Canis lupus familiaris: one gene and its partner. The protein of the gene in region 1 interacts with the protein of each later gene in a biochemical or structural test. Links are inferred from orthologs where the notes say so. Each region holds a gene or a part of one and is shown in the gene's direction. Other genes may lie near its edges.

What was found.
Region 2: the proteins of DLG1 (region 1) and PKP4 interact in a test that uses a peptide from one of them, tested with the Homo sapiens proteins (2 studies listed by IntAct, with this or other methods). The link is inferred for Canis lupus familiaris from reciprocal best matches to the Homo sapiens genes DLG1 and PKP4.

Annotation. Positions count from the first base shown.
Region 1 is NC_049254.1:30,810,929-30,814,752, reverse strand, and holds part of DLG1 (disks large homolog 1), read left to right. Parts: intron 1-684; coding exon 685-854; intron 855-2,220; coding exon 2,221-2,357; intron 2,358-3,824. UniProt on the Homo sapiens protein: Essential multidomain scaffolding protein required for normal development. Recruits channels, receptors and signaling molecules to discrete plasma membrane domains in polarized cells.
Region 2 is NC_049257.1:4,782,584-4,786,407, forward strand, and holds part of PKP4 (plakophilin-4), read left to right. Parts: intron 1-223; coding exon 224-415; intron 416-619; coding exon 620-793; intron 794-3,824. UniProt on the Homo sapiens protein: Plays a role as a regulator of Rho activity during cytokinesis. May play a role in junctional plaques.

The DNA of each region.
Region 1 (3,824 bases):
TAATCATTAGCTTCATATAAATTTCAAGATATAACTTTTATTTTTTTTATGTATCATATTGAAAAAGCAGTCAAATTATTTTTGGATAAATCAATGAGTTATCTCCACTTTGCCACCACTGTGTCTGTGACCTTAAACTTATTGCTCAATCTGAACCTCAGTTTTCTTTTCTGTGAGTCACAGCTCTATCAGTCATTATCTGGGTGACCTTAGGAAAATTCTAAACTCTTTGTGCCTTACTTTCTCCAGGTTGTCGTAAGGGTTAAAACACTAAAAAAATAAAAAATAAAAAAAATAATAAAACACAAAGAAGTGCTTGGCATGTGGTTAGTGCTAAATAAATATTTGCTATTTTTGTAATTATCTTAATGCTTACACATAATTAGCATACAAGAACCATACAAATTACAGCTATCATTATTATTTAATATTATTGTGTGGTAATCTGTTATCTGCACTGTTTATTTGGTTGGCCCTCAGGAAATATTTGTATTTATTATTTATATGACTATTTGATACGGTGGAATTTAACCTGAAGTTTCTTTGTATATATTTTTTTTGTATATATTTTCTATAGTAAATAATTCTCTACTTTAAAAATGAAAATGACAAAAAATTGTCAATGTGTAAGTTTTATATTTTAATATTTAATTTTTATTTTTAATATTTTGGGTTTCTTCTCAGGGTCAATGACTGTATATTGCGAGTAAATGAAGTAGATGTTCGTGATGTGACACATAGCAAAGCAGTTGAAGCATTGAAAGAAGCAGGGTCTATCGTACGCTTGTATGTAAAAAGACGGAAACCAGTATCAGAAAAAATAATGGAAATAAAGCTTATTAAAGGCCCTAAAGGTATGGAATAGTGAAACCAAGACAGATTATCAAGTAAGAAATTACTGAGATAAATGTAACTATCAAGTTACTAGTGACACACATTCTAAGATTAACAGTACTAGTAATCTACAGAACTTGTGTGGATTTTTAGAATTTCTCTTTAATTTCTGCTGATTTTTGTCTTAGGTAGAATTCTATTTAGCACTTGGAACTTATGTATACTGTTGCTATTAACTTGTAATCATCAATCTACAAAATGTATTAAATGCAGATACACGGGCTAAGTTAAAAGAAAGAAGTAATTATGAGTATGTCATTAGCCTCATCTGTAATGGGGACAGTTAATACTTGATTTCTGAGTTTTGAAAACATTGATGGAATTGAGGATAATTACTTATTCTAATTTGTAACTTTATGGAAGAAGTAGTATTCCAACAAATGAAAAAAAGAATAGAAAGCTACAAATTTGTCTAGTATTGAAGCTATGGAATTTATGAATTACAGAAATTCTTTAAAAAATTCAGAGGGGCGCTTGAGTGGTAGTCTGTTAAGTCTCCAACTCTTAGTTTCAGCTCAGGCCCTGACTTCAGGGTCATGTGATCATGCATGTCAAACTCTAGGCTTAAAGCTCTAGGCTCAAAAAAAGTTCTAGGCTCCACACAGAGGCTGCTTAAGACCCTCTCATACTCTCCCTTTCCTCCCCCACCCCCCATCCCTCTGACTCATGTGTACTTTCTCTCTTTCTAAAATAAATAAGTGAATCTTTAAAAAAATAAAAGTAATTCATAGAATATTGGAAAAGGAACAAAATTATCCACATTGTGAAGCCTATTAGTTCTGCCTACTACCAAAAAATTTTATTATTTTTCTCAATTGTTTTACTCTTATGAAGGTATTAAAAGTGTTAGAAACACAATCATGATGGGAACAAAATTGAAACATAATTTTGTAATGCCTCTTTGAACTAACAAACGCATTTACAAACAGACCTTAAGAAGTAACCTGGGCAGAGAGGACAGAACTTATTTCTAACTGTAGGAACATCTATATAAAAAATTGTTCAATGACTACAAAGTAAACACGTAAGACTTAAAAAATAGGCAAATAGGTGTGCTTGGGTGACTCAGTCACTTGAGCATCCAACCCTTGATCTCAGCTCAGGTCTCGATCTCAGGGTTTTAAGTTCAAGTCCCCCCTCTGGGCCCCATGCTGGGGGTGGAGGCTACTTTAAAAAAAAAAAGTAGACAAATAGATTCGTCTGTATTTAAAAAAAAAAACCAAAAAACATGAGTGTGATAAGACTGTCACCTTCTAGTTTTCAACCATTTCTGGACTTAAAAATACTTTAAATGATGAAATTTCAAAACTAGTATTTTCCAAACAGGTCTTGGGTTCAGCATTGCTGGAGGTGTTGGAAATCAACATATTCCTGGGGATAATAGCATCTATGTAACCAAGATAATTGAAGGAGGTGCAGCACATAAAGATGGTAAACTTCAGATTGGAGATAAACTTTTAGCAGTGAGTATAAGAAAGCTGTTATTTTAAAAATCATTTTCATGTCTCCTCTTTTTTTTTTTTTTTTTTGGAAAAACTGAAATTTTTCTTGCCAAAAATGTTTAAACAATATTTAAATGAATGAACACTAATTTTTAATCAAAACCTGAAAAATGGTTCTTGGTATTATTTGCCCCTTTGTTCCCCCTCTACTAGCTTCTCTCTCTTTTCTTTCTTTTTTTTTTTTTTTCCTTCCTTTTCCTACTCTTTTTTGTTGAAGGGCTAGGGAGTTGGATGCACAGAATTGTTTAAACACAGTATCACCCTTTGTGTGTGACTTTCTTTTTCTTGTTACTTAATTATAGTATAATGAAGACTGCTAAAATCAAAACTAGAATATCAACAACTTGTTTTTTATTCATTTGCTTTTAAAAATTGTTTAATCACATACCTATGCCTAAATATCTTGTTTAATATTAATTTGTTCTGAAAATGTTCTTAAAGGCTGTTGTGAAAAAAAAACAAAAAAAAAAAAAAAGGCTGTTGTGCTGAATGTAGTCTTTTAAATTTTATTTTTTACTCAGAATTGGTTTACTGAGATTTATCCAGATTGTTGCCTAGAGCTAAAAATTTATTCATTTCACCTCTACATAATATAGCTCCAGATCTATACTGCAGTTTATTTATCCAGTCTTCATCAATAATGATCCTAGTCTATGTTCCCTAGAAAAACATCTGAAGAAAAGGTACCGTGCTAAGGTTTCATTGGGAGATGTAATCTCAGAAGCTAGAGTGAATGAAAATGAAAAGTGAGGGAGAGAATAGGGGAAAGTCAATACAAGGTATTATGTTTCTGAGCTGGCTATAATTTCATAAGAAAATGTCACTAATTGACATATAGGACAGCCTTCCAGTCAGGTGATGTGACACTATTAAACTTTAGATCCAGCCATCCAGGGAAAAGAAAATATTTGTCTCCCTATCTCTTGTTAGATAGAGTCTATTCCATGAATGGTAACTGTCCCTAATTTCTGCACTGTTACTCAGCTACTCTGGGCAAATGCTAGGGAAGCCAGCTCCCATACTCCATGGTATAGCATTTCCTCTGAACTGAGAAGTGATGGAAAGAACCAGAGCTTCAGTGATCTAGACAGACCAGAACACAGGCTTTTGACGTGTTACAGCTCTCATTTCTGTGTAACACATTAGTCATGCCAAGTGCAGCCCTTACCCTAGAAAAGATTAAAAGATCTGGTAATGGTAGGAGACAAGGTGAGAGAAGTGGTAGCCAGGACTCTCCAGTAAGCACACAGCCAAAGCCTAGTAGGCATGTAGGCTCAAGAAAATCTGAAAAGGCACATAAACTAGATCTGATACAGTAGTAAGTTGGGTTATTGCTTTTTTTTTTTTAAAGGATTTATTTATTTATTTATTCGTGATAGAGAGGCAGAGACACAGGCAGAGAAGAAGCAGGCCCCATGCTGGATGCCC
Region 2 (3,824 bases), on another chromosome or scaffold:
AAATGTACTTACAGGGATGGCTCTGCGCTCTGTCATTTGGGTATCCCACAGAAATTCTAGAATCGTGATCCTCTCCTTAGATTGTTTCAGGTTCCTATAAGTTTAAAAAAAAAAAAAGTTCTCTCATATTCTGCATTTACTTAAGATCACGGCTGCTCGGTACAGAAGCATTTTGCAGTAATGTGCCTCAATGGTTTTAATTATACGCTGTGTTGGTTTTCAGACTGTGGAGAACTGCGTGTGCACCCTGAGGAACCTGTCCTACCGGCTGGAACTGGAGGTCCCACAGGCCCGACTGCTGGGGCTGAGCGAGCTGGACGACTTGCTAGGAAAAGAGTCGCCCAGCAAGGACTCAGAGCCAAGCTGCTGGGGGAAGAAAAAGAAAAAGAAAAAGAAAACACCCCAGGAGGATCAAGTTAGCATTTTATTTGACATGAAACTCTGAGGTTTCATTTTTCTGGGAATAAGAAATCACATATTTGGCAAGAAAAGAAAATTTCTCATTATACAGTTTTTCTACCTCACTGTAGCTGAATCCAGCAGAGAGGAATGTTTTCAAGTATTGGAGAGTGTAGTGTGTTCATTTGCTTCCATTTCACGTGTGCTCTTTGTCTTGCAGTGGGATGGAGTTGGTCCTATCCCAGGACTGTCAAAGTCCCCCAAGGGGGTTGAGATGCTGTGGCATCCATCAGTGGTAAAACCGTATCTGACTCTTCTAGCAGAAAGTTCCAACCCAGCCACCTTGGAAGGCTCTGCTGGATCTCTCCAGAACCTCTCTGCTGGGAACTGGAAGGTATGATGTCCTCCGGGACCCCACACTTCTTTCCATCTGTGCGGCCAGCCCAGACCAACAATGACGGTGAAAGGGACACAGCCGTTAGGACAGACCTGGGGGGGGGGGGGGGATTGACAGCAGTTGGCTCTGGGGATCCAAAGATGAATGTGACACAGCCCTCCCTGTAGAAACTGGAGGCTAGAAAGAAAATGTACAGATCAAGTCAGTACAGTGTAGACTCCACAGGATCTGTGTACTGTGGGGTCTTAAAAAGACATCTAACCCAGCCTGGCAGGTGAGAAAAAGGCAAAGAGGAGAGCCAAGAAGTAGGGAAGGATTCTGGGAAGAATGGTGCTGCCCAAATGGAGTATTTCAAAATGAGCGGAAGTAAGCCCGCAGAGTCTGAGGTTGGTGCTACAGAGGGAGTGATCCAGAGAAAGGGACAAGAGGAGAAAGACCTTGAGGTGAGGAAAGGACAGTGTGGCAGAGACTACAGGATGCTTGCTGGGGCATCACAGGCAGCTCACACGTGGCCCAGGTGGGACCCAGGCGGTGTAGACAGGCCTGATGGCCAAGGATGATGGCCACATGACCTGCACCAGAAGGGCCACTACAAGGGTTGAAGCGGACAGGCGACACAGATGTGGATACTGTTGGGTCCCCTTAGCCGCAGTACAGAAGACAAACTCAAAGAAGTAGAAAGTAGAGGCTGGGATTCTGTGCTGAACGTGCCAGGGGCCTGAATTAGCGCTGAGCTAGGGCAGCACTTGCAGGGCAGAGGGACCACTGTTCCTGTCTCAGACTCTTCCAGAACATACGTATAGCAAAAGTTACCCCTTCTCCTCAAAGCTGTGTGGCTTCTTTATGAAAATTCAAAGTGGTTTCTTACCGTTACAACTGTAAGAGGGTCTCAGGACTTTTTAAAACATCATCTACCAAGTTCCCAGACAGTCCTTTTCTGAAATATTTTCAAACTCTAAAAATCTCCTGACCAGTGTATTTTTTTTGTTTCAAGTTTTTCATTTAAATTCTAGTTAGTTTATATATAGTGTAATATTGGTTTCAGGAATGGAATTTAGTGATTGATCACTCACTCAACACCCAGTGCTCATCACAAGTGCCCTCAATGCCCATCACCCACTTAGCCCTTCCCCCGCCCACCTCCCCTCCAGCAACCCTCAGTCTGTTTTCTATAGTTAGGACTCTCTTATGGTTTGCCTCCCTTTTTTTTTTTTTCCTTCCTTCCCCTTATGTTCATCTGTTTTGTTTCCTAAATTCCACATACACATGAAAAGTGGCTGCACCAGCTTACATTACCACCAACAGTGTAAGAGAAGAGGGTTCCCCTTTCTCGGCATCCTCACCAACCCCTGTTGTTTTCTGTGTTGTTAATTTTAGCCATTTTGACAGGTGTGAGGTGGTATCTCATCATAGTTTTGATTTGTATTTCCCTGATGATGAGTGAAGTCGAGCATCTTAACCATGTGTCTCTTGGCCATTTGTATATCTTTGTTGGAAAAAGTCTATTCATATCTGCTGTCCATTCTTAACTTGATTATTTGTTTTTTGGGTATTGAGTTTAATAAATTCTTTCTAGATTTTGGATATTGACCCTTCATCAGATACGTCATTTGCAAATATCTTCTCCCATTCCATAGGTTGTCTTTGAGTTGTCTGACAAGTGTATTTTAGTAGAGTTATTATAATGCTTGTTTTTGGCTGCTTCCTCCACCATCACCTCCCAAAATGGGAACCTTGTGGCCACTGTATTATCCATGAAAGAGAAAAGCATTGGTAAGGCTAGGTGTGGTTTGTTTCATGCAGTCAACTGCTATAATGAATGTATACAAATGTTTATGGCCTAGTGCTAAGCCAGCATGGTTAGTTTGTTATTATTGTTTTTAATTAACGTTCTAATAGCTTGGTATCTAAGGGCTGTCTCTGGAGTCAGACCCCTTGGTTTCAAATCCTGGCCCTTACATTTATTAGCTAGGGGGCTTGGATCTTTCCATCCTGTTTCTGCATCTGTAAAATGGAGGTAATACCTACCTCACGAGGTGGTTGTGAGAGCTAACTTAGACAATAACATGAAGGACCTACGACTGTGCGGCACATAAGTAGTCATAAATATATTTATGTTGATGACTCAATGTTCACATCCAGTTTCTCATGACCCGAGAGACACATTCGATGATAATAAAAAAGACAATAATTGAAATAGATGTGATATGAGTTGTGTTTAATTACACTTCTCGAGTCATTTAGTGAATGAAAGTTAGATGGCAGGCTCATTTAAAATATAAATACTGTATTAAAATAATTTCAAAAGTATCTAAAATCAAAATATTAGATCCTCATTAAGAAAACAAGATAATCATCACCACAGATGTTTTCAAGTCAAGCTATTTTGGGAGTAGCGATGACTATAGTGCCCCAGAAGGGAAATGCTCTGGGCTGGGCTGAGCCAGGTGGTCTCCAGGTGAGACAAGTGTCGACTCTGTCCTTGAAGATTTCAGAGAGAAGTTGAGAAAGTGCTTTAGTCTACAGCAAGTCATGTATTCCATTTCCTTCCCCTCCCCTACCCATAGATTTCATTTGATTTAGAAAAATAGGAGTATTTGTTTAGGAAGAATGTTACTAGGACCTTTGAAATGCATCTTTTCCTCTTCCTTGTATTATTAAAGTAATCTATTCTGTTGGTATGCAAGGAACCCAGTGGTCAATCATATATTTTAATGTTCAAAGTAACACAAAAGGCTGGCAGATCTTTGTCCTCATGCCTTGACCACAGCAGGAAAGTATTAGATGTTTTATGAGCAACATTTTTCAATTATCCTAAATTTTGAAAAACAATTTGCATTGGTAAAAAATGTCAATAAAAACTCAAAACAAGATGAAAGACCCAATTTTCAAATGCTACCTTTTTTTGGTTATTTCCCTGATGACTTAGCTGGCGTTCATTTCCAATTCAAATGGTACACACGCTGACTCGCTGAACAGACTTGCCTCATAGTCACAAAAGAATTTCTTGACTATGAATTTAAAAAAG